4 linked regions of the Notamacropus eugenii genome follow. The protein of the gene in region 1 purifies or fractionates together with the protein of each later gene. This does not show direct contact. Links are inferred from orthologs where the notes say so. Each region holds a gene or a part of one and is shown in the gene's direction. Other genes may lie near its edges.

What was found.
Region 2: the proteins of PAK2 (region 1) and ARHGEF6 purify together in Homo sapiens (affinity purification with mass spectrometry; 3 studies listed by BioGRID and IntAct, counting the BioPlex papers as one, with this or other methods). This does not show direct contact. The link is inferred for Notamacropus eugenii from reciprocal best matches to the Homo sapiens genes PAK2 and ARHGEF6.
Region 3: the proteins of PAK2 (region 1) and GIT1 purify together in Homo sapiens (affinity purification with mass spectrometry; 5 studies listed by BioGRID and IntAct, with this or other methods). This does not show direct contact. The link is inferred for Notamacropus eugenii from reciprocal best matches to the Homo sapiens genes PAK2 and GIT1.
Region 4: the proteins of PAK2 (region 1) and GIT2 purify together in Homo sapiens (affinity purification with mass spectrometry; 3 studies listed by BioGRID and IntAct, with this or other methods). This does not show direct contact. The link is inferred for Notamacropus eugenii from reciprocal best matches to the Homo sapiens genes PAK2 and GIT2.

What each region holds. Positions count from the first base shown.
Region 1 is NC_092876.1:335,605,565-335,613,140, reverse strand, and holds the start of PAK2 (serine/threonine-protein kinase PAK 2), read left to right. Parts: upstream 1-4,554; 5' UTR 4,555-4,666; intron 4,667-7,576. Other genes in the region: PIGX (phosphatidylinositol-glycan biosynthesis class X protein), read left to right, coding at 48-191. UniProt on the Homo sapiens protein: Serine/threonine protein kinase that plays a role in a variety of different signaling pathways including cytoskeleton regulation, cell motility, cell cycle progression, apoptosis or proliferation.
Region 2 is NC_092879.1:58,084,604-58,091,624, reverse strand, and holds the start of ARHGEF6 (rho guanine nucleotide exchange factor 6), read left to right. Parts: upstream 1-4,007; 5' UTR 4,008-4,310; coding exon 4,311-4,475; intron 4,476-6,442; coding exon 6,443-6,526; intron 6,527-7,021. UniProt on the Homo sapiens protein: Acts as a RAC1 guanine nucleotide exchange factor (GEF).
Region 3 is NC_092873.1:37,130,904-37,137,882, reverse strand, and holds the start of GIT1 (ARF GTPase-activating protein GIT1), read left to right. Parts: upstream 1-3,964; 5' UTR 3,965-4,040; coding exon 4,041-4,092; intron 4,093-6,979. Other genes in the region: uncharacterized protein, read right to left, coding at 2,371-2,416, 3,403-3,959. UniProt on the Homo sapiens protein: GTPase-activating protein for ADP ribosylation factor family members, including ARF1.
Region 4 is NC_092875.1:22,007,465-22,014,607, forward strand, and holds the start of GIT2 (ARF GTPase-activating protein GIT2), read left to right. Parts: upstream 1-4,131; 5' UTR 4,132-4,158; coding exon 4,159-4,213; intron 4,214-7,143. UniProt on the Homo sapiens protein: GTPase-activating protein for ADP ribosylation factor family members, including ARF1.

The sequences.
Region 1 (7,576 bases):
AGTGTTCCTCTAATCTTAAATTGAACTTGTCTACCCTCTCTCCGTAGGTAAATCAGAATGTGATACTACAGGTTCCAGTGGGGCTGCGAGTACATTGTCTTTTCGTATGTGTCATAACTCTGCTTGTTACAATCTTATGTTCTGGTCTTATACTCAGAGCCATCTTCAAACATGGTCATTTCTCCCTGTGAGAATGTAATGTAATAGTTGGTAGTATTCTAGAATTATGGCATTCCTTTTAATTGACAGTAATGTATTTTAGTTTTGTTGAGAACAGTTAAATAAAAAATGTAGAATGGTGTTTTGTAAATAATTTCACCTAATTTTTACTTAATACAGAAATTTATGCTGCATTTGTGCTTGGTAATTTCTCAAGTATCAAGTGCCAATATAAACAATTTAATTCTGTTAAATGGATAAATTATTTTTCAAAGAATAGGGTCAGTTACAAGATTGTAAGCCCTTTGAGTGTAAAGAATCATGTCTTATTTATCTTTGTATTTGCCTCACAGCCTGAGGTAGCTCTTTGCTCTTAGTGTAATATGTGTTAATTGAATTAGAAGAGAAAAATGAGTTCTATTTTCAGAGAAATGAATTTCTTATATTTTTTGATATTATTAACTAACAGATGTTAATAGAAATCAGAGAAAGCATTACAGATGAGGGCACAGTATTTCTAATCAGACATTTGATTGACAATTAATTTTTTTGAAAAACATTAGAAAACATCCAATGGTTTAGGGAGAAGCAAAATTAACACCAGAGACTGTTATTGCTAATAGCAAAACTTACCATACTCAGTGGCATCCTATTTCTCTTTTATTATATTGCTTCTGGATTTATATACATCTGTTAATGGTGGGGAAGGAAAAATAATGAAGTTACTTAATAAGCTTTAGTATAAGAGAAGTGTGAGGGAACACAGCTCAGTCTGCTCATTAAAGAAGATCTTCTATGAAACCTTGTATGTCTCATAATAAGATTATTATACATTGATTTTTAAAAATGGAGGCCTAGTCCCTGCTTTATTTGGTTAAAAAAAATAGGAAGTAAGAATAACAGTAGGCGAACCTCAAAATAACCCTGAAGTAAATGTGCTGCTAACCAATAAATCAGAGCATATTATTTTTTAAAAATATATTTTTATCTATTGTGTTAAATATTTCCCAATTACTTGAAAAAATTGTTTTAACATTCATTTTTAAAAATTTTGAGTTCCAAATTCTCTCCCTTCCTCCTGCCCCTCACCCACCCCTTGAGAAGGTAAGCAATATTGTATCTATGATACATGTAAATCACACAAAACATATTTCCATATTGGCTGTGTTGCTAAAGAAGACACAAAACCTCCCCCAAAAAAATAAAGTAAAAAAAGTATGCTTCAGTTGGCATTCAGAGTTCATCAGTTCTCTCTCTGGGGGTGGATACCATTTTTCATCATGAATTGTTTGGGATTGTCTTGGGATTTGGAATCATTGTCTTGATCAGAATACCCAAATCTTTAACAGTTGATCACCATTACAATATTGCTGTTTCTGTGTATAGTGTTCCCCTGGTTCTACTCACTTCACTTTATATCAATTCATATAAGTCTTCCTAGATTTTTCAGTCAGGATATATTATAACTATGCTTTTTGGTAGAGTAAATACAATGTGATATATGTGTGTGGTATATACATAAACATGTAAGATCAGGAGAATTCCCAATTTGCAAATCTGTTTCTCACAATGAAACTAATTAATTAAACTGCTGCTTGATTGTTGGCACTTTGTCTCTGGCTTGCTGTTTCGTCATTCTCAGTTTAGATACTGACTCAGTAAAAAATCCTGTTAATATCAGTAAATATTTTATTGTATGAAGAACATAGTATAGTAATATAGGTTATGTAGCAGCATTTATCACAAAAAAGAAGCAGCTGGGGTATTGTAGAAGCCATCCTAAAATATGGCTTTCTACTGTTTTCCAAAGATAAATACCTTCAAAGAGGGTTTATCTTTCTCAGAGGCTTTATAGTTGGACCCAGGACCTTATCTTGCCCAGAATCAGGCTACCACATCATTTCCAGACCACTTCTGGAACATCCTCCCATCCCAGTTTCTAGCTCAAAGATAGATAGATGATAAGTAGATAGATATATACTTCCATCTCTCTCTCTCTCCCGCCCCCTTCCTCCCTCTCTCTCCCTCCCTCTCTCCCTTTCCCCCCCCCCTCAATTGCATTGTCAGTTTCTTAAGGGTAGGACTTGCTTGCTTGTAATACACACAGTCCTAAGCCCAATGCCTGGCACATAGTAAGTGCTTAATCAGTATTTTTTTTCACTCCAGTGCAGAGATGAGTTGGGGCTTCATTCTTTGATTTGATAATTGAAAAGGCAAAATTTCTATGGGCCAATTACATTTTTTGATCTGTTATTTTTTTCTTATGGGTACCTTTGATTTTTTAAAGAGATTTAGCATTAAAGGGCTAGGTTTAACTGTTAAAAATTTACCAAACCTCAAAGTTGCTATGCAATTTTGTGGCTTTCTAGAGTGCTTGCTTCTTGAAGTACAGTGTCTCCTAAAATGATTTTACAGGAAGAATCAACTCATGGAACTGCAAGGAATTTTAAAGATTACCTAGTCCAGCTATTATACCTCATTTTACAGATGTGGAAAGTATAATAAGATGGGAAGTGATTTCTCTGAGGTCATATTTTCAAGTTATATAGTTACAGAATGTTACCAGTTGGGTGGGCTTGATAGATAAATCTATTTCCCCTTTCTTTATTGGACAGATAAGGAAATCGAGGTGGAGACAGTGACTTGCACAATATCACGTAGATAGTATTAAAGGCAAGACCAAGACATAATTCCAGTTTACCATTGATTCTCCCAGTTTGTTCTTTCTACCTTATCATGTTACTTCTACAAAACTGAATGCCACAAATCTTTTGTCTGTACATCCTGGATCTGTCTCTGAAAAGCATTCAAGTATACCACAGGCCTAGTTCACTGCATCCTGACATTCTTCCGCTCATTTCATTTTGCTGCTTCAGGCAGAATAAGGAATAGGGTGAGGACAGTTAAGTGATCATTATACTTGACTTCGGATGAGGGAAGGTGGATCCAAATTTTGAAGTAGGTGGTTTGTTTTTGGAGGTCTCCTGCTTCCTTTTTGTGGGGCAACTAGGTGGTAAAATGTATAGAGTACCGGGTCTGAAGTCAGGAAGCATTATGACACTGGCTGTATATACCTGGGCAAACCATTCTAGTATTTTTGCCAAGAAAACCTCAAATGGGGTTACAAAGAGTTGGATACCACTAAGCAACCAAAAAACCTTCCATTGTACTGCAATGCAATAAAATATTGATTATATACATCATGGGGAAACTGAGGCCTGGGTTCAGGAATGACTTAAAATACACACACACACATGCACACTTTCCCAGTTACATGTAAAAACAAAATCAACATTAATTTAAAAAAAAAATTGAGTTTCAAATTTTCTCCCTCTTTCCCACAAATGCAAAATACAAAACATTTTCCTATTAGACATGTTGCAAAAGAAAACACATCAAAAAGGAAGAAAAGTAAAGTAAAAAAAAAGTATACTTCAAAATGCCAGCAGAGTTTGTCAGTTTTCTCTGGAGGGTGGATAGCATTTTTCATCATGGGTCCTTTGGAACTGTCTTGGATCCTTGTCTATGTTACAATGTTTAAGTCTTTCATCTTTGATCATTGTTACAACGTTGCTGTTATTGTATACAATGTTCTATTTTTGCTCACTTTACTTTGCATCAGTTCATTTAAGTAGAATGACTTTTTTGAATGAATGAATAAAAAATTTATTTAGTGCTTACTATCAGAAAGCATTGTGTTTTGGACATCAAGATTTGGTAGGTAAACACCTAAATGGATTTAGAAGGTGGCATATCACTTCAGAGGACTCTCAGACTAGAAATGGTAAGCCTTTTTCATGCATAATAAAAAAAAATTAGCATTGACGTGTGCATAGGATTTATGTATATCCTAACTATCTGGTGAATTCCCCAAATAGAGCAGAATTGGCATAGGCCCTTTAGGAGACAGGGGATTGCACTACATGAAAGACTGCACAGCCTCTCTGGGCTCTGAATCACCAACCACCCGGGAACTACAACTCCCAGTAGCCTCTTGTTCCCTTCGCGGACGGCGGCCAATCGGGTTTGAGGGGCGCGGTTTGACCCAGGAGAGGCGACGGCTCCCGCTCGGCACAGCCTGCGGGGCGCTGCAGTTGTTGACGCCTCCTCCCCTGAGCTCTCCTCGTCCCCCCTCCCTCCTCTAGGGTTGTGGCCACGCGCAGCAGCAGCGGCGGCGGCGGTTGTTCCGCTTCCCCTCAGGCCCCGGCGGTCGCCATTGCCCAAGGCTGCCTCCCCTGCCCTGCCTGCACTGGGGCGCTCGGGGCGGCAGCACGGCCTAGTAGCGAGGGCGACCGCAGTAGTGTCCCGGGGCAGGGGGCCTCGAGTTGCGAGGCCGGCTCCCGGTCCCCCCCCTACCCTGCTCTCCCTTGCCGCGCCCTCCCGGGGCGGCTCCGGAGCCAGCCAGCCAGCCAGGCGGGGCGCGCGGGGCTTGCGTCCCGGCGGTCGCAGGAGGAGACGCTGACCCAGGCGCCTCGCAGGGGCGGGGACGCTTCTCTCCGTGGCCGCGGTAAGTGAGGCTTGGCGCCCCCTCCCCCGCGCCAGGCACCCCGGCTCGGCCGCCGCCGCCACCTGCGTCCCGGGGCGGTGGCTGCTTATTGTTTGCTCCCCCGGGGCAGACTTCTTCCCCTTCTCTGCTTCTGGGGGAAGGGAGGGCCGAGAAGTTGGGCGGGAGGGCCGAGAAGTTGGACGGGAGTGGGGGTCGTCCTGCCCCTGACCTGCCCCGAGCCTCTGCCCCTCTGCTCTCCACTTATCTCTCCCTTCCACTCACACGTCTTTTTCTTTTCCTCGTGGCCCCTTTGGAGTCCGGCCAGTTTCTCTCCTTCCCGACAGTTCCCAGCGATCCCTCCTGTCCTCCCTCTTTGGGCTCTGGACATGGGTCCGTTGAATCTCTGCCCAGCCCTTAACCCCAATCTGCTATCTCCCTTCCCACAAACCGCAGCAGCTGAAACTCCTGGTCCACAAATCCATCCCCACCTCTGTAGCAACAACTCCTTAGGTCTCATTTCTGATCATTCCCATTTTAATCCCACTGTGCCAGGAGGCGAGTTGTGGACTTCTGTAGGTAACCTTAAATTAACTTGAAGTTACTGAGCATGAACTTGCTGCTTTCAGCTACTTAAATTTCTTTTTTTTGGGGGGGGGGGCACTCCTAGAATAAAAACTTCTTAAGTGGATTCATCATTTTGCACAAGTCTTTTAAGTACTGAATGACCCGAGTATTGATGTCTGGAAAGTACTTCTAGTTTCCTGGTTAGAGTATAGTTTGTGGTCGTCCTTTTATTGGGGGTGAGAGAGAATATCCTCTTTATGCAACAGGAGATTTATTTCCCGCTATATGGTGATTCATCGATTTCTATCTAATAATCTAGACATGTTTTGCCTCCTTTGCAAAAGGACACAATCAGAATGGTTAGGCCTAAAATTAGACCCACAAGCTGGGTTTTGGATCAAGGCTATACGCGTCACATTTTTTCCCCTGCTGTGTTTGACTCTTCCGCTCTTATAAGTAGGCAGGATATTGAAATCTACAAGAATTTACTCTTGAGAGTTTGTTTTTGTAGGTTGTCCAGAAAAATAAGAATAATTTAAAATGAAGCTAGATGAAGATCTCTTTTGTTAGATGAACTAAGTGCACAGTAATTTTGGAGGCAAGTAAAAACTTGTCCAGCCTTGCCAGAGGTTCTGTAGCTTTTGTCAAAGACTTAACTTTTTAGAAAAAAGGAAGACCGAGTAAAATCTCGTTTAAGAATATAGGTTTAAGGTGACACTTTTATCTTTGGCTTTTTAAATTGTGCACTTGGCACTATTGGTTAGCAAGTGACAAATTTTTTTAATCATCAGAAGAAAAAGCATCTATCAGAGAGAACATTTTGTTAAGGCAGTGTTTAAGGTGACAGTTGCTTTAGGAAAACTCAGGACTGATGATAAGTTTCTAGCCCCTCAACAAAGATGATTTTTTATGTTTTTGATGTGGACCTAGACATTGAACCCATGGAGGTGATCCAAATTCAGGTGTTTTTGTGTGGTCTTCTCACTGTTACTGCTGAAAACCTACAAATGGTATGGTGTCCCTTTTCCAAACATAATAAAAAAAGCATTAGTATTGAAGTGTTCCAAAGGCTATGTGCGTGACATGATTGGTTGGTGAGCAACAATGAATAGCCAAGATCTTAACCTCTTCTTTTTCTTTTAGAGACTTAACACAACCCCTCATGCCAAGAATGGGGTTAAATGTTTGATAATTGTAGTTCTGATAATCTCAGGGTATGAGATGTTGGAACTCTTAGAGTTCTTTAAAACTTTGTTTTTTATGACAGTTGTATGTGCAATCCCTGGTTCTCATTCAGGAAATTACACACCCAGAATTATAGCTAGCTGGGAGTGACCTTAAAGGTCATTTAGGCCAGTGACTATATTGTACAGATGAGGAACTAGAGGCCCATAGAGGTGTCCAGTGACTTGCTTAAGGTTATTAAGCTAATAAGTAGCAGAATCAGTATTCTATCACAGGCTTTCTGACCGACAAGACTGGTGAAGCTTTTTCTGCTGTGGTATGCTATCTTTTTTCTAGGTATTCCTGTCTAGTTGAGACCTAGGATCCTGTGACTAGACAACTTATTACTCAGTGATATTGCTGTTATTTGGGAAATTATTTTTTTTCTGGAGCATTATAATGTTTCTAATGTTTGCAGAGAATATTTCCTTTTAGGTACTTTGCCTGCAGTTACTGAAAGCTGCCGTCAGGTGTTTTATCGCTTGAGCAGACAGGATACCTCATTGACATGGCTGATAGAGTAGCATGCTTTTCCATTAAATGCTTTTTTTTTTTAAACAAAGTATTCTGGTAGGAAACACAGTTTTTAGTTCATGACTTTAAGATATCAGAACCTAGGTACAATTTGATATATTTTCCCACAGATCTTTAGCTGTTATTATTTACTCATCAACCACAATTTAAAGTAAAATGCTTAGGTAAAACATTTATCTAATGATTTTAGTAAAATGCTTCTTTTGATTCCTCCTGAATTTATATTAGGTCACAAAATTTTGAGGTGTCTGGAAATCTCATTAGTATTTTGGTCCTTTTGGTGTCAGAAGTTCATGCTTTTCCTGTTCTTTAGCCGCGTCCCTCAAATCCATTGATCTTTCATTGATGGGCATTTGATCACTTCTAAGCTAATAAAAAAGATGGAATATATTCAGGTGACTTAGCTCCAAACCAGTACTGCTGTCCTTGTAGCATTCATCTTTCATAGTCTAGAGGTGAAAAAGAAAAAAAAGGAATCATAAGAGGTAGTTTTAGGGTCAGTGAACATATGAATCTTGATGTCCGTCAAGCATTTTGAATCTTTATCTTCAAAATAATCAAGTGTGAATAATGGGTCTTGTGATAGTTTTATGTTATTTTGCTGAATCA
Region 2 (7,021 bases), on another chromosome or scaffold:
GGCTAAAAACTGGAAATCATCCATTGGGGAATGACTGAACAAGTTGTGGTATATGAATGTAATGGAATACTATTGTGCTCTAAGAAATGATGAACAGGAAGACTGTTCTGATGCTGATGTGAAAGGAGTAGAACCAGGAGAACTTTGTACACAGCAACAACCACAGTGTGTGAGGAATTTGTCTGGTAGACTTAGTACTTCACAGCAATGCAAGGACCTAAAAAATTCCCAATGGACTTTTGAGGCAAAATGTCTTCCACATCCAGAGAAAGAACTATGGAAATGGCTCACAGAATGAAGCATTTTCTTTTGTATTATGTTTTGTTTTCATGGTTTCTCCCATTCATTTTAATTCTTCTATTCAACATGACTAAGGTGAAATGTATTTAATAGGAATGTATGTGTAGAACCTATATAACATGACATGCTGTCTTGGAGAGGGAGGGAGGGGGGAAGGAGGAGGAGGGAGGGGAAAAAAATCTAAGATACATGGAAGTGATTATAGAACACTGAAAACAAATAAAATAATTTTTAAAACTCTCCCAGTTTACTTTCAAGTACCAGTATGCTACACGAGAAAAGCCATGAGTTTGGAGTCAGAACATTTGAGTCTGCATTCTGACTCAGTCATTTACCAGATGGTGACCATAGATAAGTCACTCAACCTTTATGAGACTATATTCTCCCATCTACAAACTATAAATGATAATAGTAATGGGTCAACTAGGTGGCACTACAGTGGATAGAGTGCCAGGCCTGGAGTCAGAAGTCTCTTCTTCCTGAGTTCAAATCCAGCCTCAGACACTTTCTAGCTGGGTGACCCTGGGCAAGTTACTTCATGCTGTTTGCCTCAATTTCCTCATCTGCAAAATGAGCTGCAGAAGGAAATGGCAATGCCCTCTAACATCTCTGCCAAGAAAATCTCAAAAGGGGTCATAAAGAATTGGACATGACTGAGGAACAAGAAACATCAACCTCCCAGGGCTTTTCTTTTTTTTAAATTGAGGATGTTCTATAAACCACTGTTGTATAAATAGTGTAAAGCACTATTGTGACTTGTGTCAATGCTAGTGTTGATTCTCTCAGTTACATGGGCCTTGGTTCACTGCTTCCTTAAAATTGATGAATAATGTGACATGATATGTCTGCCAAGAATATTTCAAAGTGGTGAGCGAGGATACCTGCTTCCTCCTCTTCGTTCTGCCAGTTTTTTGTTGTGGGACTGAGCTGTGCTTGCCTGAGCTTTAGTTGAACCATCTGAATGATTTTAGGGTTGGTTGCAGAGTTTCTAGAATTTTAAAATAATACTAGTCCTGATAGTGTTGTAAAGATCTGCCGAGATACCATATGCAAAAACTCTTTGTAAGCGCGAGATTGGCCCAGAGAGGCAAATAGTTATTTTACAGGGGATGATCATTTGTCAAGGACAAAGTTATGCATATAGATTTTACATGACATCACATGTGTAACTGATATCATTGCTTGCTTTTAATATGTGGGACAGGAGCTGGAAGGAAGAAGATAAGGTGGAATTCAACATTTAAAAAAATGAATGTTAAAATCAAGTATTCTTTTTAAAATTATTATTAAATAATTTTATTTGTTTTCAGTATTCTACAGTCACTTCCATATATCTTAGACTTTTTTCCCCTCTCTCCCCCTCCTTCTCCCTTCCCTCCCCATTCCCTCCCTGAGATGGTGTACAATCTTATATAGGTTCTACACATACATTGCTGTTAAATACATAAAATCAAGTATTCTTTAAAAACCTATATACAAAGCATTGATCTTATGAAGGATTTCAAAACCATATAGATAATTAAAATTTATTCTTCAGAGCAGTAATTTTAAAGGAAAATACTGCTATGATATAGTATAAAGGGAGATGTATTGACTTTGGAGTCAACAGCTTGCGGTTTGAATCTTAGCAGTCTTATTTCCAATCTGTGTGACCTTGGGTAAGTCCCTTCACTTCACTGGGCCTCAGTCTCCTCCCCTCAAAAATGAAGGGGTTGGATTGTGCCATAGGGGGTCTCCTCAGTGTAGGTTTGTTGTGCTAATTTTCTGGGGATCTCTTCCTAAGGGTGGTAGACAACGAGCATATTACAGCAAGGCCTATTATGTACGCCAGGAATTGGACCAAGCTCTGGGTTATAAACGAAGGACAAACCAATCTCTGTCCTCAAGGAGCTTCCATTCCACTAGGGGAGAGGACATTAACTAGCTAACTCCATATAAGATAAAGACAGAGTTGAAGGAAGGTAATTTGGAGTGGAAAGCTCTTGGGTCATTGAGGACTGGGAAAGGCCAATCACACAGAGAGAAGGGGGGCTGTAAGCAGAGTCTTGAAGGAAGCCAGGGAAATTAAGAGGGGGGAGGCCAAATGAGAGCATTCTAGGCCATTCCAGACATGGGGGCCAGCCAGTGCAAAGGGAGGGAGGCTTGAGATGGAGGGTTCTGTTAGAGGAAACAGAAGGTCTAACACTAATCCAGTGTAGCTGGATCCAGTGTGTGCCAGGGAGCAGAGTACAAAAAGACTCACAGGTAGGAAGGGGCCAGAGTGTGAAGGGTTTAACTGCCAAATAAAGAACTTGTATTTGCTCCTGGAAGTAATAGGGAGCCACCGGTGTGGGTCATGGTCAGAAATAGTCAGATCCGAGTTTTAGGAAGGTCCCTGTGGCAGCTGAGTGGGCCATGGATTAGAGACTATGTAGGAGGCTCTGGTCGTCTAGGTATCATGGACCCAACCTGAGTGCTGCTGATGGCATGAGCAGAGAGAATATTTAGTTTCCCATCTTCTTCTGATGACAACAACAATTACTGAGCAGTCACTTCTAGCTTTTGCAAAGAACAATGCTATGGTATTCGTTTCCCACCTATGAGGGAGTGACAGTTTGGAGAGAGTCTACCACGTTGCCAATCTCATCCAATCCAATGCAGTCCAATAGACATTTATTAAATACCACCGAGGATCATGGGCTTTGAGCTAGAAGGAACTTTAGAGATCACTGAGTCCAAGCCCTCCCCACTCCCATCAGATCTTCTTCAGAAGAGAGGACAGTGATGCACAGAAGCGTCAAGTGACTTCCCCGAGGCCACATAGCTGGTAAACGTCTGAGGCAAGATTTGAACCGAGAGCTTCTGAAGGCCCCGTTCAGCTCTGACTCCTCTAATCTAAATAAGAGCAACAGCTTTCATTTGACTAGTGTTTTTAGGTTTGCAAAGTTCTTTTCTCCCAACCAGCCCGTGAGGTAGAGTTGGAAGATCCCCAATTTCCCAGTGTGTGGTGTGCACTCCTGGCAAATGCTATTTTGTTTTCCAATTCTTCCTGTTTTTGTCATTATTTTCTTCAATCCCCCGATCCCTTCTTTCCCCGCCACCCCCAGACACACTTATTTTTAAAGCAACATGTTCTGGCCCATGTTACTGTGTCCAAGCCTTTGGCATGGGTTTTGCAGCTGGATTGTGCAGTGGGCATCAGGTCCGGAAAGAAATACGAAAGGAGGTAAGTAAACAGGGTGGCAGATGTTCTCCTTCTATTTCGCTCTTTGTCATGAAAGAAAATGCCATCCTCCCCGCTTCTGTGCCAGCCTTTAGACTTCTGGGTCCTCCTCCCCAGACCTCTTAAAGAGTATCCCAAGAAGTCGTGGCACCCAGCATCTTTGGGTGAGAACTTGTGGCTGGACAGCCATTCCTGGGATACATTTCCTGCTTCTCCCTTCTTGGAGCCCCACTGCCATTTCCACTGATTCCCCGAGAAAGCCTGGATCTGATCTGTTGGACATCCAAGCCAGTTGGCACCCACTTCCTGACAGAAGCCAGATTTTGTTCACTGAGGCTAGACTATTGACAGCTTGTCCCCAGGCTGGCCCACTCACTTTCTCATTTGCAAGGTTCCCTGCAAGGCTGGCTCACCTCTTTTTTCCAAGTGTCCCTACTTCCTTCTGTCCCCTCCCTCCCCAGCATCCTCTTCACTTCCTTCCCTTACAGCCCTGGCTCCTTCAAGTGTCTGTCAGTAGGAGCTTGTTTTTCAGTTGGGGGGTGGGGTGATGTGTATTGAAAAATACAATCATGCTTGTCCCTGGTTCTTCCCCTTGCTCTTTCTAGCTTTGCATAACTGAGTGTGGTCTCTGTGGTTAGAAGATCCCACCTTTGGAGTGGAGGTCCCACTGTGGCCAGAGAAGAGTTATCTCCACTGTTTGCACAGCAAGTGCCCGAAGAGAGAGCCCGGAAAAAAGGAAGACAGCACCCGATGCAATCGCGGATGTGGGTAAGACCTTGCAGCTGCTTCGGGTGCACAGTCCTCGGCAATGAATCCCGAGGAACGCATCGTGACATGGCTCATCTCTCTGGGAGTTTTAAATTCCCCCAAGAAGACCATCTGTGATCCGGAGGAATTCTTGAAGGTGTCTCTGAAAAATGGGGTAGTGCTATGCAAACTGCTAAATCGGCTTCTTCCTGGAGCTGTGGAAAAGGTAACTGAAATGGCCATGGTCTGCTTCCTTGGCCTACTTGGCTGCTTCCTCACCCAGGGCCCACTGCCTCCTGCTTCTAGGTCTGGGCCCCGGCTTTCCCCCAGACCTGAAGTGCCCTCCCTGCTCACTTCAGCCTCTTAGAATCTCTAGCTCTTCCTTCAAGGCTCAGCTCACCTGCCTTCTCCTCTAGGAAGCCTTTCTTTATCCCTTTAGTTGGTCTTCTTCCTCATTAGGTGGTGTATTTGCCTATCTGTTTATGTGTTGATCCCCCCAGTGGAATACAAGCTTCTTGTGGGTAAGGACTGTTTCTTATTTTTGTCTGCCTCTCCGTAGCACATAGCACAGTGCTTGGCACATCAAAGTAGATGTTTAACCAATATTTCTTGGCTTCAGACTGCCTAGCCCACATAACCTGTGAGTCAAATACTTTGTGTCTTTCCACTAGCTAGCAATGATTCCTCATCATTCATGTCTGAGAGGGATGGGATATGGTTCATGGACCCCTGGTAACTACCTCAGTACGGCCATTCTAGCATTGAGACAAGGGCAACATCCACCAGAAAAGTATTTCTTGTTAGAGTGAGTGAGATGTCAACTGACCTCCCCATGAACTAAGGACACAATTTAATCAGAATCTATGAAATTGTAAGATGTTTAAATCTAGGGCTGATGGCATAGCTGAAATGAATGTATTTCTTTAAAAGTTTACTTTTAGCAACAAGGAGAACCAAGCTAGGATGCGTGACTTCCGATAACAACTGAAACTAAATGGGTATTTGAAATGGAACACATAATTCCAGGAAGATTAAAATGTAGGCATTCCCCCCCACCCCATCCTCCTTTTTAGATTAGCACAGTTAAATTTTTGATGCTTCCCCTGAGGCTAGATCTTTACTCCAAAGGTAAAGGCAGTTTTCTAAAGGAGAACTCCAGTATTTAGGGAGTGTGCCCAAATAAACTGAGAACTGGGGAATAGAGGTGGGAGCCAAGTATGACTTGGACTTGAGTTTCTACAGCCAGATTGTAACAACTTTCTAGGCTAGAAAAATGATATATTAAAATACCGTGCAGGATGCATTTGGACCTGGTACTTGTTGGGTCAAATGTCCAAGTGGGGTGCAATGGAAAGATTTCTATTTGGGACCAGAGGTCCTGGTTTCAAATCTCAGCTTGGTTGCTTATTAGCTGTGAGACACTGGGAAAGTCATTTAATTTCCCTGGGCCTCAGTTTACCCACTGTAAAAGGAGGGGGTTGGCTTGGATGACTTCTGAGGTCCTTTCCTTTTTAGATCTGTGATCCACTGTGTTTTTGCCTTGGGCAAGAACTTTTACCTTAATGGGCCTCAATTTCCTCCTCTATCAAATGAAGGAGTTCTACTACTGAAGGACTTTAAGGTCCCTTCCAGCGGTAGAGCTAGGATCCTACCTGTGATCTTGGACCAGTCTTTCCCCTCCCCTCATTTCCTCCTCTGTCAAATGAGAGGGGCTGAACTAGATGCCCCTGAGGTCCCATGAACCCTAAATCTCTGATACTATGAAGGTTCCTATGAAATGGTAGAAAGCAGCAAGGTGGAAAATGTGCTTTTCATATATTTGAAAACAGTAACACAGTTTAAAAAATCCAGACACATCCTAATATCTTGGGATGGGGACAGAGAATGAAGAAATGTATATAGTCCAAATAATTTTGGACTCAGAGTTGGGAGACCCTTCAGTGGGCCTTTAGCCTGGGGCTCTGTTCTGAAACTGATATTTGAAACAAAAGGCCGTTTAGATTTTTACATCATTTCCTTCAATGGTTACTTCTCTTCCTGGTTTGAAAGCAGCCTTCCCCTTTGCCTTCAAAAAAAAAAAAACCCCAAAAGCAAACCAAAACCAAAAACCTACCTAGTTCTCATAAAACATGAAGCATGCTGGGCCTGCTTGGGAAACCCAACTCACAGAGGTTCTCTTGATCATTTCTTTAGTACCATCAGGAGCCCCAAACGGAAGCTGACTGCATCAGTAACATTAAGGACTTCCTCAAAGGATGTGCAGGTCTTCAGGTAGAGGTAAGTCAGTTGGCCCTGGCAACCTCAGTATCAGCATCATTAGTGCTTTTGGTTTTGTTTTGGGCTTTGTCATGCCAATAAAGAGGGGATTTGGTATTGGAGTAGAGGAAATCTCACTTGTTTGCTTTTCCCAATAGCCATTGCAAGGTTGAAGATTAGGCCCTTTTTTATTCACCCCACAGGAGAAATTGATGGTCACTTTGGTGGGAGGCTGTCTTTCTCAAAAATTCCTGGAAAAGACAACAGCAGAAGCAAGATGATTGTCTTTCACAGTCCAGCATGAAAGTTTTAAGAGTAAACTCAGATGGAACTGATGTGCTCTATGGCTGCTTTTCTCAGTCTCGAGGAACATTAATGGTTTAGACCATGATGTCCAACTCAGACAGAAACTGAGGATCATTAATCTGCACATAAGGATTCCTGTGGCCTTCACACTGACCTAGTTTTAAAATGTAATATTATCTTTGTTTTACTGTACTTTTATTTCATTTGTTG
Region 3 (6,979 bases), on another chromosome or scaffold:
AGCAATAATGGTTTGAGACTTGCTAGAAAATGATATTCTCATCCTCCTTTCCATCATCTCTTCCTTGTATTCCATACCCCGCCTCCATGGCAAACCATGCACATCCCAGGATGCCACACCGCCAGGGGGAGAGAGGGAGCAGTCAGCGTCACCATCCCCATTCCCCTGCGGAAGAGTCTGCGGGCCTCCTTTGGTGCCTAGGCATGCTGCTCCCTACCTCCACCACAAGGAGTCAGCAGAGGGTTGTACCTGGACCGGGAGCCTAAGCAGTGGGATTGGAGAGGCAAGAGAGGAAAAGGAGAGGGTGCCCCTGTACAGCGGATACTCCTGGGAATGAAGGTGTGGCTGAGCACTTCCTATGGCCGAGACACAGACGGACTGCAGCCTCCTTCAAGTCCACCGCTAAAGAGGTGTGGGGATTTGCAGATGTCATCTGCTCCTCCATGCCTTCTAAAGTCCCTCTCTCCTCAAATTACTTTGTATTTACTCTGTATATTTTGTATCAGTGTACACACTATTTCCTTCCTGGTAGAATGGTAAGTTAAGGACAGGGACCACTTTTGTCTTTATAAGATCACCGGGCACAAAGCTGAGAAACAGTAGGTGCTTAGTAAGTGAAGGTAGTCTATGTGTTTTCCCTCAAGAGATTGTAATCCCCTGAGGGCAGGACTAGTTTTTGTCTTCGACTAGTAGACATTCAATAAATGGTTATTGAATTACATGAGCCCTCTTCCCCAAGTATCAGGACAAGGTACAGTTTGGGGGAGGGACTGGTAGTAGGGCTGGGGGGGTTGGGTAGTGTTGGACTTGGAGTCAGGAAGACCTGGGTTCAAATCCTGCTTCTGACACTGTGTAAGTACGGAGGAAGTCACTCTCCCCAGGCCAGTTTCCTCATCTCTAAAATGGAGTTGGACTAAATGGTATCTGAGATGCCTTCAGTTCTAGATCTATGATTCTGTGATTCTGCGCGGCCGCCCCCCCCCCCCCCCATCATCCCAGTTTGCTTAGGTGCTCTAAGGAGTCAATTCATCTTGGTTCCTGGGATGTCCCTCCCATCCCTCCCCAGGAGACACAGTCCAACTGAGAGACTTAGATTGAGTAGGGGGAGGCATGCCAGGCACCTGTTTGTTCTCCTTCATGCCTGCCAGTCCCAGGCTGCCACGTGCTCTCAAACTCACCCACACACAGCCCAAGAAACAAAGACAAACAGACCGTGCAGCTGAGAGCCGAGTAGACATTTAATAAATGAAATTCCATAGCTGAGAGAAGAGCTGAATCTTCAGCTCCAGTTCCCACCCCCAGCCTTCATTCCACATGCATTCACTCACCACGAGGCTGGAAGGGGGTGGGGTAGGGAGAGAGAGCCTGTCTCAGCATCCTCAGCCTTGAATGCCAGGGTGAAGAGAAGGCCCATCCTGGGGGAAAAGGGGGGAGTAGCACCTCCCATGCAGCCGTTGGCAGGTGGGGCTCTCCAGGAGCCGAGGGAGCCAGCCAGGCACAGGCTAACTCAGGTGATAAACTGCCTGGCTCTCTCCTAACAACTCAGGGACTGCATTGGGGGAGGCGGCAAGGCAGACAGGCAATGCTACAAGCTGGCAGTCTCCTTTTTTTTTTAAAGTGTGATTATAAATATAGCCAGTGGACACACACACTTTCAAACAAACTTGTCAATCCGGGTAGAAATGAGAAGTCGAAAGAGGCAGGTCTCGCTGTATTTGGGGCGCCATGACTCATGGGCGGCTGCTGTCTCAGGGAGGGAGCTAGTCTGCCCACCCACGAGCCCCTGCCACAGATAGGCTGAACATCTCTGGCACCTCTCCCCACGTGAGTGAATCTCCTGTTGCCAAGTAGAATCCCCTCTTTGTCTAGACTCTAGACGTTACACCTGCAACCTTTTCACCACTGGAACGGCTTCTAACACCTTCCCCTCCCAACAGCTTTCCCGAGTCATGCCCACCTCCCCAGAGACAGAGTCAAAAGCAGAAGGGGGGAAGGGCAGCAGCAGAGGGCAGGGCATTTTATGCAAACTGGCAAGCACAAGGGAATGCACACGAGCAGGCTGGGGCCACAGGTTCGCAGTTTCTCAAGGCTTCTTCCTTCATGTAAAATTTCATAACCTGCGAAGAAAAACCACTCCAAGGAAATATTCTGGGTGTATATATACATTTACACAGCCTGGACATGAACACGTGGCCTTGAAATGAAACAGGCCAGGACTTCATGTACATTCTGTTCCTCCCCTCCAGGAATGGACATATATGAGTACATGACAAAATACAGGAAAGTCCCCACATGAGAAGGCAGCTGTCTGTCTCTTCCTCCAGACATCTTTAGAAGTGGGCTTGATTCTTAGCCACGGGGAGCTGTAGTCTAGGTGTGGTCTTGCCTGGAGGCAGTGAGTGACCTCTCTGGCACCCTAGAAGTTAACAGTTTAATTCAGTTCAATGCCAACATAAGCTGGGAGGGACCTTAGAGGTCATGGAGTCTAACCCCCTTTATTTGACCGATGGGGAAACTGACCAGGGATTTGCTCAAGGTCAATTAGCTAAAGTACATAACAATAAGGCACAATACGGATAAAAATGACTTACTCTTCCCCCCGCCACCCATTGAGTGCCTCTTGGGTGCCAGCTGGGTGGACTGGGGATACAAAGCTGGGCAAGTGAATTTCTTTCTTCCAGAAACTTGGTCTATATTCCTCACGCGGGTGGCTACCTGCTCTCCCCCCATTCCCAGGGAAATCTGGGGATCTAGACTTCCTGCAGCAAGCTAAGACAAATAGACCTATGGAATTCCAAGGAACCCGGAAGAAAAAGAAGCCCAATTTGTAGCCTTAGGGCGTTGTCAGGGGCTGGGGTCACACAGGTGACAGAAGGGCAGCTTGAGCCCATGGATGCCAGCTCTCTATCCATCAAGATGGTATCGTTAGAACGCCCCCCCCCTTTCACACAAGTGTGGGTGCTCTCTGCAGAATCGTGTGCCCCTACCCATACATACATAGAACGTTTTCCCCAACTCAGACACCAGAGTGTGGACACTAATCGATGCGTTCCGCACCCAGACAGCTCTTAGGAACCCAGACTGTACAAAAGCTGGCCCATCCCTCCTTCCCCAAACACCCACAGCCTTGTCACCCCCACACAGAGGATGGCGACCTTTCCCCAACATTCTTTGTCCGCCTCTCCTTGGTATGGGGCGGCTTGCTAGGTCACCCCTAAACTGGCCTATTTACACGCACACACACACACACACAATAAACCTCAGCGAGGCAGTTCAGCCTTAATCCCCCACCTCCCGTTTTTGCCCCATTTTCACCACCTGCCCTCAATGCTCCCCCTCTCCTTCCTCCTCCCGCTGCTAGGATAGGGGAAGGCAGGAAGAGGAACTGTAGGGGTGACTCACCACCAGCTCCGCCCTGTTCTCGCTTTGGGGGCAGGTAGGGGAAACTGAGGCAAGGGGCCAGGATGCGGGGCAAGCTGGCGGCCAGTCACCCAGGCCAAGTCCTCCCCGACTCGGTTCAGGATGGGGAGAGGCTGGGGAGGGGGCGGTCTCCGGGGCTGGGATTGGGGGGGGCGGGAAGAGCCCGGCCCTCCTGGCCCTTTAAAGCCCCCCCACTCCCTAGCACCTCGAGCCTCTTCCTGTGTTCCTTGCCATTTCCTTTCTCCAGCTGGGAGCGGGGCGGGTCCGGGCCCGGGCTGGGGGTCGGGAGGCGCGCGGGCCCCTCCCCCGGTGGGCCGGGCCTGCGTCGCTTCCTGCGGGAGCAGCTGAGCGCGAGCTGGGCAGCCTGCGGAGAGCCGGAGAGCCAGGGGCCGGGCCGGGCCGAGCCGGGCGGGCCGAGCCGGAGCCGGGGAGGACGCGCCGGGGGCCGATCTGAGCGCCGACGGCCGGGGCCCCGAGGGGGCGGACGCGCGGCGGGGAGCGGCCTCCGCAGCAGCCGTGGCCGTGGCCGCGGGCGCCATCGGGGACCCCCTGCCTGCGGCCGACGCCCCCGCGCGCCCCCCACGCTGGCCCAGAGGGCTGCGGCCGCCTCGCCGCTGAGGATGTCCCGGAAGGGGCCGCGGGCCGAGGTGTGTGCGGACTGCAGCGCCCCGGGTAAGGCCCGGGCCGGGGGCGGGCACGGGGGCCCCGGGGTGGGGGGGAAGGAGGTCGAGACGCCAGCGCCCCGAGGCCGGGGGCGGGATGCTGCGGGAGGGTGAGCGGAGGCTGGGGGCTGCGGCCTCGGCAGCCACTGCAGAGCCAGGTGTCCTTGGGAGGGGCACCGGGGTGCCCGGGGGCCCGAGCTGGGAGGGGAGGGGCGCAGCGCGCTGCTCCTGGGCTGCTGCTGGTGCCCACGTCAGTGCTGGTCATCCTGCCCCCTCAGCACCCCCAGCCCAGGGGCCAGCGGGGTCCGTGCTTCAGGAAGGACGTGTCCGGTGCCTTCTCCTCCTTGGGCAGTCTGGCCTCCCCCCCAACGGCATCCACCCCCCCTCCCCGGCTCCTAGGCGGCAGAAGGACTGTGGGGGAAGCGAGAAGGATTTTTCCTTAGGGGGTGGAAGTGTGTGTTCTTAGTTTGTGTCATGGAGTCTCGGCTGCCTCCTTCTGTCTTACACCTGCTGCTCACACGTTGCGATTGCTGTGTAGCTGCAGAGGACATCTGTGGGGAAAGGGGGTGAGCAGGTATCTCCTGCCCTCACCTTGCCCAGCTCCCGGTCCACCGGCCACAGGTCTTCTCACAAAGGTACTCGGAAGGCAAGGGTTACCCAGGGATGCTTGTCTTTAGGCATCCTGGCCTGCCCAGGGCCTGGTAGGGCTGTTCTTCCTGGAGTTAGAGGGGCCAGGGTCAGGCCCTAGGTCCCATTTAATTCTTCAGAAGGTGGTGACTGATTCCTAGGCCTCTGAAGGTGCTAGGGGCTCTCACACCTACTCTGTCAGGCCAAATGGAATCCTGAGACACCATTCCTCAACCCCATAAACAAAGCCTGCTGGGTGGGGGAGGATGAGCAGGCCTGGGTCTTGAGATAGTTTTCCTTCTCCTCAGCCACTACTTGACAGGGAAGTGGGAAATCCCAGCACCATTGGTACCAGGCAGGGAGCACAGGACAGACCCTAGACCTGGGTGCCTAGGGTCTGTGGATAAATCCAGGGCAAGCCAGTAAAGGACACTGGACTCAAATCCTACCTCAGCCACTTATTCTGTGGGTCTACTAGTCCTGTACTTTCCCTGGAACTCGGTTTCCTTCTCTGTAAAAAGAAGGGATTGGTCTTTGATGGCTTCTAAGTTCCCTTCCAGCTTTGCTCTATGCCAGGGAGACCTAGCCTAGGGTCTGAGAGTCAGCTGCCTCCACCCCCTGCCTCTGATTCCATGTTGACTGGCATTTCCCCTTCTCCCCAGAAGAGTGGAGTTCTTTTCCATGTGGGAGTTGCACATCTCTACCTACTTTGGCCCCAGGGAGGAAATGAGGGGACAGACCAGAGGAGCAGTTTCCTTCTGGTGGAAGGGGTGGACTCCGGAGGCAGAAGGGGCTCTTCAGATCTGAGCAGCCTGTTGGGGCAAGGGGTAGTGGAGTCCTAATGGTCATAGGTAACCTTTCTGGGCCTCAGTTCCTTCATCTGTAAAATGAAGAAAATTGGATGACTACAGAGTCACTGTGATTCCTCCACCTTAACTCTGGCTTCATTCATTTGGGAGGGAGATAGGTTTGTACTGCCCACCTCCCCAAATTCCCACTTAGGTTCTGGGTTACAGATCAATTTGCAGAGTTTCCAGAGAACCCCAGAAGGCATGTGGGCAGCTGGTGCCCCAGTGTGCCCTCTCTAGGCTGGCAGAAAGGATCTGGGGAGGCTTATCTGGGGGCTTACTCCCCCTTCACAGGGAGTCTCCAGTGTTAGTGTCAGCTCCAATGATCATTTTGAGATAGGGATGAGGGACATCAGAACAAGCTTTCTAGTGCCCTGTGAGTACCCAGTGAGGGGATAGAGGAAGTTGGTGGTGGTATCTCTGTGGATGCCCAGTTTTGTGACCCTCAGTTGACCCCATTAGTGTCAGAAGGTTAGCCTCTTTGTTGGATGAGATATCCCCAGGTTGGCATAGGACTATGCCCTCAGGGCCCCTCCTCTACCTTGCTCATCTGGCATAGTTAATAGAAGCCTAGGTTTAGAGTCTGAAAAACACTTTAAGTTCTGTTGTAGGCACTAATTCTAACCTTAGTCGTGTCGGTCTCTCAGAACCTCAATTTCCTTCTCTATTAAGATGTGCTGTTAATGCTTGGTAGTCCCCACCTTGCTGAGCTGTTAGACTCAAGTGAGATAATTACCAAGCATTAATTAATCACCTACTGTGTGATCCAGGTGCTAGAAACATAAAGACAAAAACCCAAAAACCCAAGTCCTGAAACAGGCCCTGCCTTCAAGGATCCTATGTTCTATAAGGAAATCATATAAATATTTACAAAGTGACTTCAGAAAGGACATTAGCAACTGAAGGGATTTCCTTTTCTCCATAGGAAGGACTCCTGTGGAGAAAGTAGCATGACATTTTAGCAGATCTTTGAAGGAAGTTAAGGAAATTAAAGATGCTTAAAGGTGAGGAGAGAGTGCATTTCAGGCATGGGGGACATCTGTACAAAGACTTGGAAACTGGCATTGGTATGGAATGATGCCTGGAAAGAGCTTTGTAAACTCTCGAGCTCTCATCAGTAGTGATTAGCATCCTACTCTGAGTGGAAGAAAGGTGACCAAGACTGGTAGAACGTGCGAGGGCTCCTCATCAGTGGCTGTAGCAGACCCCTGAGGAAGACAAACTTCCTGAGTTGTTCAGGCAGAGTTAAAGTCTAGTTGGAATCCTGGCCTGGGTCCTATCCATCCCCTTCACAGATGCACCACATGGCTGCCCTCAAAGAAGACTCCTCTAGGATGTTGGATTAGGGGATTTGGAGTCCAAATGCATTCCAGCCCTGCTAAGTGCCCTGTTTGGGCCCTTGGGCTAGGCAGTCACTTACAG
Region 4 (7,143 bases), on another chromosome or scaffold:
CTATGTAATATTGTAATATGATAAGCACTATATAAACCTTAGTTATAGAGTAATCCCTATAAATATATATTAATATACAGTAAATGCTATATAAATGTTAGTTATTATACAGTAAGTACTGTAAATGTTATTATATGTTATAATATATAATATGTAGTGAGTACTACATGTTAGTTACTAGTAGTAAACATTATAATATTATATACAGTACTATAAATATATATTATGTTATAATATATGTAATTATAATACAATTAGATATGTCATAATATAATATGTATGTGTTAAAATTAAATACATATGATATATAATATGTATTAAACACCATAAATGTTAGTTGTGATTACATAGTAAGCACTATACAGATATAATAAAATGCTAATAGTAGTAAGCACTAAAAATGTAGAATATATTTTTATATGACATATAGTAAGCACTATATATTATAATGTAAATATACAGTAAAACTGTATAAATGTTATTATTATATAGTAAATCCTATCAATATCTTATATGTAGTAAATACTACATGTTAGTAGTAGTAGTGAACACTATAAATCTATGTTATAATGTATAATATGTAGCAAGCACTATAAATCTACATTATGCATATTATATGTAATAAGCACCGTACGTTACTATACAGTAAGCAGTATGTGCTATATAACGTGTTATAGTATGTAGTAAGCACTATGTCCTTGTTACTTATTAACGTCATTAGAGCTAACAGCAGATGCAGAGCTAGGGATGGAATCGGGAAGGACTAAGCTCGGCCCCTGCTTACGGGTAACCCTGGGTAACTAGGTCCTGCACACTTACATCCGAAGTCACACATAGCTGCAGACTGCTGCTGGGCCCCCAGGCCTAGGTGCTCAGATACCCCAGCTAAGGGGCCAGAACCCCAGGCTTCAGTCCTAAGGAGAAGGGTCAAGTTCTTGGTCCTGATCACTGTCCTGTCACAGGCTGCACTGGGCATCCTCCGGAGAGCTGAGGTTTGACTTGGCCCTCACTAAAGGCTGATCCCCAAAGGGTGCAGCAGGGACCCCTCCAGAAAGGTTCTGGATGAACAAAGCGCCTCAGGTTTCTAGGACAGCTCTTTATGTCTCCACTACAAAAGGGGTATTTAAAACACTCAAGTTTCGTAAACACATGTTAACAAAGACATAAAAGATGAGACAGTAGCCTGTGCCCCTATGCCAGCCTGCTAGGAAGCTGATCCTTTAAACGGTGGCATGAGGTCAGACCGCTGAGCGGGCATTTTCCCTGGGCTCTGCCTTGTGTCCACAACTACCGAAGGTCCCAGGCGCCCAAGAGGCCAGGCCAGGGCTGGGCTTCATCCTCCCTGCGGTAGTCAGTGCCCACAGGGCAGCTGGCACCGAGGGAGGGGCCAACTGGGAGCCCCTGACTTCGGGGGCTCACGAGGGCTCCTCTTGGGCTGTCTCTGGACAGCCTCAAGGTCTGACTTCTGCTCAGCCCAGGGGGCCGTGTGGCCCTGGCAGGGAGAACCGCCAGGAATGGCCCGGAGAGAGAAGCTTCCATGCCACGTTTCCAAAAGAGATGTCATCTCTCCCTTGAAAGCAGAGAGAGACAGAGACAGACAGACAAAGACAGAGACAGACAGAGAGAAAGAGAGAGAGATAGGCAGAGAGAGAGAAACAGACAGACAGAGACAGAGAGACAGACAGAGAGAGAGACAGACAGAGAGACAGAGAGAGATAGACAGACAGAGACAGACAAAGACAGAGACAGACAGAGAGAAAGAGAGAGATAGACAGACAGAGACAGACAGACAGACAAAGAGACAGACAGAGACAGAGAGACAGACAGAGAGACAGACAGACATACAGAGAGACAGAGAGAGATAGACAGACAGAGACAGACAGACAGAGACAAAGAGACAGACAGAGACACAGAGAGAGACAGAGACAGACAGACAGACAGAGAGAGATAGGCAGACAGAGAGACAGAGAGAGATAGACAGACAGAGACAGAGAAAGAGAGAGAGATAGATAGGCAGAGAGAAAGAGACAGACAGACAGAGACAGAGAGACAGACAGAAAGAGAGACAGACAAAGACAGACAGACAGAGAGACAGAGAGAGACAGACAGACAGAGAGACAGAGACAGACAGAGATAGACCAACAGAGAGAGAGACACAGAGAGAGAGACAGAGACAGAGAGAGACAGACAGACAGACAGACAGACAGACAGACAGACAGACAGACAGACAGACAGACAGACAGACGGGGTCGGGGAGGGGGGAGCGGCTGTTCATCCTGGCGCAGGCCCCGCCCCCCGGGCCCCCGCCCCGCCCCGCCCCGCCCCGCCCCAGGGCCAAGGGGCTTCCGCACTCAGTAGGGCTCTTCCGGCGCAGACGCTCCGCTGTGCGTCTCCGGACGTCATCCCCTCTCCCTCCCCCCCCGCCCCCACCCGGGGCGCGCGGTCATTCCCCGCCCTTGGACTGGAAGCTCCTCGCGGGCGGGGCCGCTCTTCCGCCTCTTTAGATGTCCCCAGCGCTCCCGCGCGTAGTAGGTCCTTAATAAGTCTTTATTGAATTGAATTAACTGTGACCGGAGGTTGTGAAGTAGTCACATGATCCTAGATCTGGAGCCGGAAGGGCCCCGAGGGGCCTTTAACTTAAGGGCTTTCTTTTACAAATAAGGAAACTGAGCCAGAGAAGAGAAGTGACTGGACCAAAAGGGACCAGGGGCCAACCCGAGTTCTTTCCGCTACACTAGTTATTTCTGAGGACTGGGAAAGGTTTCTTGTGTGTCCCCAAGGCTGCTGCCCCCCTCTCTATTTTGGGGCTTCTTGGGGCGCTGGCAGCTCTGACATTCCCGGAATCGATGTGAAGGATCCAGGAAAAGGCGTGGCGGCCGCCCTGCCCTTATCCAAGATGGCGCCAGGCTTCCGCAAGCCGCTTCCGGCCACGTGACGGTGCCCCGCCTTCGGGCGGGGCGGTGGAGCTGGGGCGCCTGCGCGCTGCGCCTGCGCGCTGCCGAGGGGGAGGTGCCGCCGCCGCCGCCGCCGCTGCCGCCGCCGTGGGGCTGCCAGCGCTGCCGGGAGCGGAGCTGTCGGAGCGGAAGCGCTGCCGCCGCCGCCGTCGGGGCGCCGGAGGCGGGCGCCATGTCGAAGCGGCTGCGGAGCAGCGAGGTGTGCGCCGACTGTAGCGGCCCCGGTGAGTGAGCGGCGCCGAGCGGGCCGGGCTGGGGGCGCCGCCTCCGGGCCGTCAGGCTGTGCCCCCCCGGGGCAGCTGCGGGGAGGCGGGAAACGAGCGGGGGACTGGGCCCGGGCCGGGCGGCGCCCGCGGCAGGTGTCAGCCTAGGGACCCCGGCGTCCGCGCCCTAGCCCGCCCAGGGCGAGAGCCGCAGGGCCGAGGGAACGGGAGGGACCGACCCCCGAGGGGGGAAACTGAGGCCCGGAGCGGGAGTGGTGGCAGGATCCCAAGCCAGAGCCGGGTCAACCCAAGCCTCGCACGGTGCCGGAGGCCTCGGGGGCGCAGAGCGGGGCAAGTCGGGAGCACCTATTAAGCGCCTACTAGATGCCAGCTAAGGGTTTCGAGACCCTGAGAGCGAGCGCAGATGTGGACAGGGCAGGAGGGGGAAGCTGAGGCTGGAGGGGTGCCCCTGCCCTGGGCAAGAGGTACCGGCGTGGCCAGAGGGAAGTGGGGGGCGGGGGTGCTCATCGGCTCCACCATCCCCGCAGAGCTCCCCCGGGAGCATCTCCTCTCTTTACAGAGGGGGAGACCGAGCCAGGAGGGGCTGGGGGGTCCCCCGGGAGCATCTCCTCTCTTTACAGAGGGGGAGACCGAGCCAGGAGGGGCTGGGGGGTCCCCCGGGAGCATCTCCTCTCTTTACAGAGGGGGAGGCCGAGCCAGGAGGGGCTGGGAGGTCCCCCGGGAGGATCTCCTCTCTTTACAATCCAAGAGACCTGAGGGACTGTTTTGGCCAGGGAGTCCTAAGGTGGAGCCTGAAGATCCCTAGGTGTCTGGAGATAAATTTCATAGAGTCTATGAACATGAATGTGGGAAAATGTGGTCTTTATTTTCTCTCTCCTCTTAACTGAAGCACAGCATTTCCTTCAGTCATTTAGAAATGTTCAAAGAAGGGGTCTCCGCATCCCCAGACCACCCCAGGAATCTGGAGCAGGAGAACAAGGATGAGAACGCCCATCTCCTCCAGCCCCCTCTTTGTATGTCTGAGGGACCTTCCAGGTGTCTGCTTCCACTCCCTTACTTGACTGATGAGGAAACTGAGCTTCCAAGAACCTCAAGAGATCCCTTAACTCAGCCCCTTCTTTTACAAGGGGGAAACTGAAGGCTAGAGTGACCCAGCATTTGGTGCTGGTCGTCCTACGCAGGCATTAGAATGTATCGTCATTCCCTCACCGTGGTCAGGTTGACTATCCAGGTGTTATTATCCCCAGTTTACAAATGAGGAAGCCAAGGTCCCTTGACCCAAGGATTGTGTGACCCTGGAATTTGAATCTGGGTGCTTTGGCTCATGATCCAGGGCTCCCTTCACACCATCTTCAATGAATCAACGAATTTTTACAGAGCATGTTTGGTGTCAGGCCCAGTGCCAGGAATCCTGAGTTCTGGCATTCTCTGGGAAAGTGACTTCATCACCTCAGGAATGGGTCAAATGCAGCTTTGACATCCTAGGGTCTTTGGTGCTGTGAGCCCACCAGATCGACAGAAGAGAAAAAGATGGGCTCATTCACCAGTTATGAGAGCTTGTGTTTTTAGTTGTGTTTAGTATCCATTAGTTTGTTAGCTGTTGTTGTCTTCTGGGTTCATGGGGTTCTTGTTGAAGGTTGTTGGGGTTTTTTTCCATCGCTGTAGGAGGTCACCTGTTTACTTTAAAGTAGCTTTGTTGTTGTTCAGTTCTGACCGATTCCTCATGCCCTCATTTGGGTTTTCTTGGCAGAGATACTGGAGGGGTTTTCCACTTCCTTCTCCAGCTTATTTTACAGATGAGGAAACAGAGGCAAACTGGGCTAAGTGACTTCCCCAGGGTCACCCAACTAGTAAGTGTCTGAGGCTAGATTTGAACTCAAGAGGATCCATCTTCTTGACTCCAGGCCCAGCTCTATACTCTGCCCTTAGAATAAGTTGGGAGTGCTCAGTGTTTTCATTCACTAGATCAGCTTAGATCCCTCCTCACTTTCTCAGCCAAACTCCTAGCAGAAAACTGTTGCAGGTGGTTTCCACCACTCCCTCCGCCCTCATCCCTTATCCCCTTGCAGTTTGGCTTCTGACCTCGACACTCAAATCAAATTATGGTTCCCAGTGCTATCAGTTATCTCTGAATTGTCATATCTGACAGTCTTTTCTCAGGCAGCATTCAATAACCCTGACCTTATTGTCCTCCCAGACATTTCTCCTGGTGCTCCTCCCTGCCTGTCCATTCCTCATCCCCTAACCGTGGATCTTCTCCCAGGCTCTGTCCTGGGCCCTCTTCTCTCTTGGTGCTGCCTTGGTAATCTCATCTGCTCCCATTATCGTCCCAGTGCACACAGTTCCCAGATCTGTCCAGGCAGCCCCAGGGCCACGTCTCATCCTGCCTTTGGGACATTTCATCCTGGGATCACAGACTCATCCCATGCAGACAACTTGTTCTTGATCCCGGAACCCACCTTTCTTAAGCACGAGTGTCTCTTCTTTCAAAGGCATTGATTGTTGCCGTTCTCCAGGTACAGAGCACCTTAACTTCACCTTTTGTATCCAGTCAGCAGCCAGATCTTGGCATTTCTGATTCTCCAGCCTGAAGTGCAGGATTCCCTACTCCATTAGCTCCAGGGGCTCTCTGCTGCCTTCAGGATAAAATATAAACTCAATTTGTCTTCTGAAACCTCACCAGCTGGCCTTAGCCCACCTTCCAAGCCTCCTGTGGTTTTCCATTCCGTTCTGGCCAGCCTGGCCCATCCCCCATACCTAGGATGCCCTCTCTCCTTCCCAGGGCCCCAGAGAAGCCCTTTTTTCAACACTCAGTTCAAGCACCACCTTGTGTATCAGTCCCATTGAGTTTTTACTTAACTCTGTATATAATCATACATATGTATGCATGTATGTATAGATACACGTTTGTATATGTATATGCTTGTATGCATATACACATATACACACATCTCCTCCAATGGAATGGAATTGCACAGAACAGAGGGACTTGTCTTTTTATCTTGGTGTCTCCACTGCACACTGGTCCTGACTTCTAGTAGGTGCTTGATAGATTCTTGTTTGACTAATTCACGGCATTGATGGATGCAGTGAAATGAGATCATAGGAATTATAAGCTTTAAATTTGGAGGGGGCATACCGGGCCACTTCACAGATAAAGAAGTTAAGGCCCCAAGAGGCTAAATGATTGGGTGGAAGTCTCACAGGATAGGAAGCGGTCAAGCCACAATTTGAACTCTGATCTTCTCATTCTTCACCAAGGCCTCCCTGTTGGTCTCTCCGTTAGCCTTCCCTCTGTGGTCCTTTCTTTGGACAGGGTTAGAGCACTCCTATCCATGAGGGAAAATGCAGTTAAGAATTCAAGTTATCTTCCACTGACTTTGCATTGAAAAGTGGCTCCATCTGCCTTTGGGATTCACAATCCTTACTGCCTTCCTGGGGTGGTAGGGGACTTGGTGGCCTTTGGAGCCCAGTCCTCTCCAAAATAAGGGTCTTGCGCAGAGTCCTTGGACATCAGTATTTCTGTACCCATTTTTAGAATGCCATTCTTGTCATTTTGAAGCTTGGCTGGAGCTTTAAAATGGACCGAGTTAACTAAAACCTCATGTGGCAGTGTGAATGTGTGTCCTACAGGACAAGCAGGGTTATCCTTCCCTTTGCAAAGAAGGAAGGAAGGAGAGGCCAAGTTTGAAACATGGCTGTTGCAAGAACTAAATGAGATGGGGCTCAGTAAATGCATCTGACCGAAAATGTCTTTATTCACTGAAATTACAATTCTCTGAGTTCAGCTCTCCACACTGTTTGTTTCACCTTTTAGTTGGACCGAAGAGATGTGTGATTCAGATATGTCTTCAGCCCAGCTCTCCCCTTGATTTGTATCAATCTTTTTTGACTCTCCAAAAGATTTTTTTGACCAAAGAAAAATTGCTTTCCCAGTCCTAGGATCAGTGCAGATATAGCCTTGT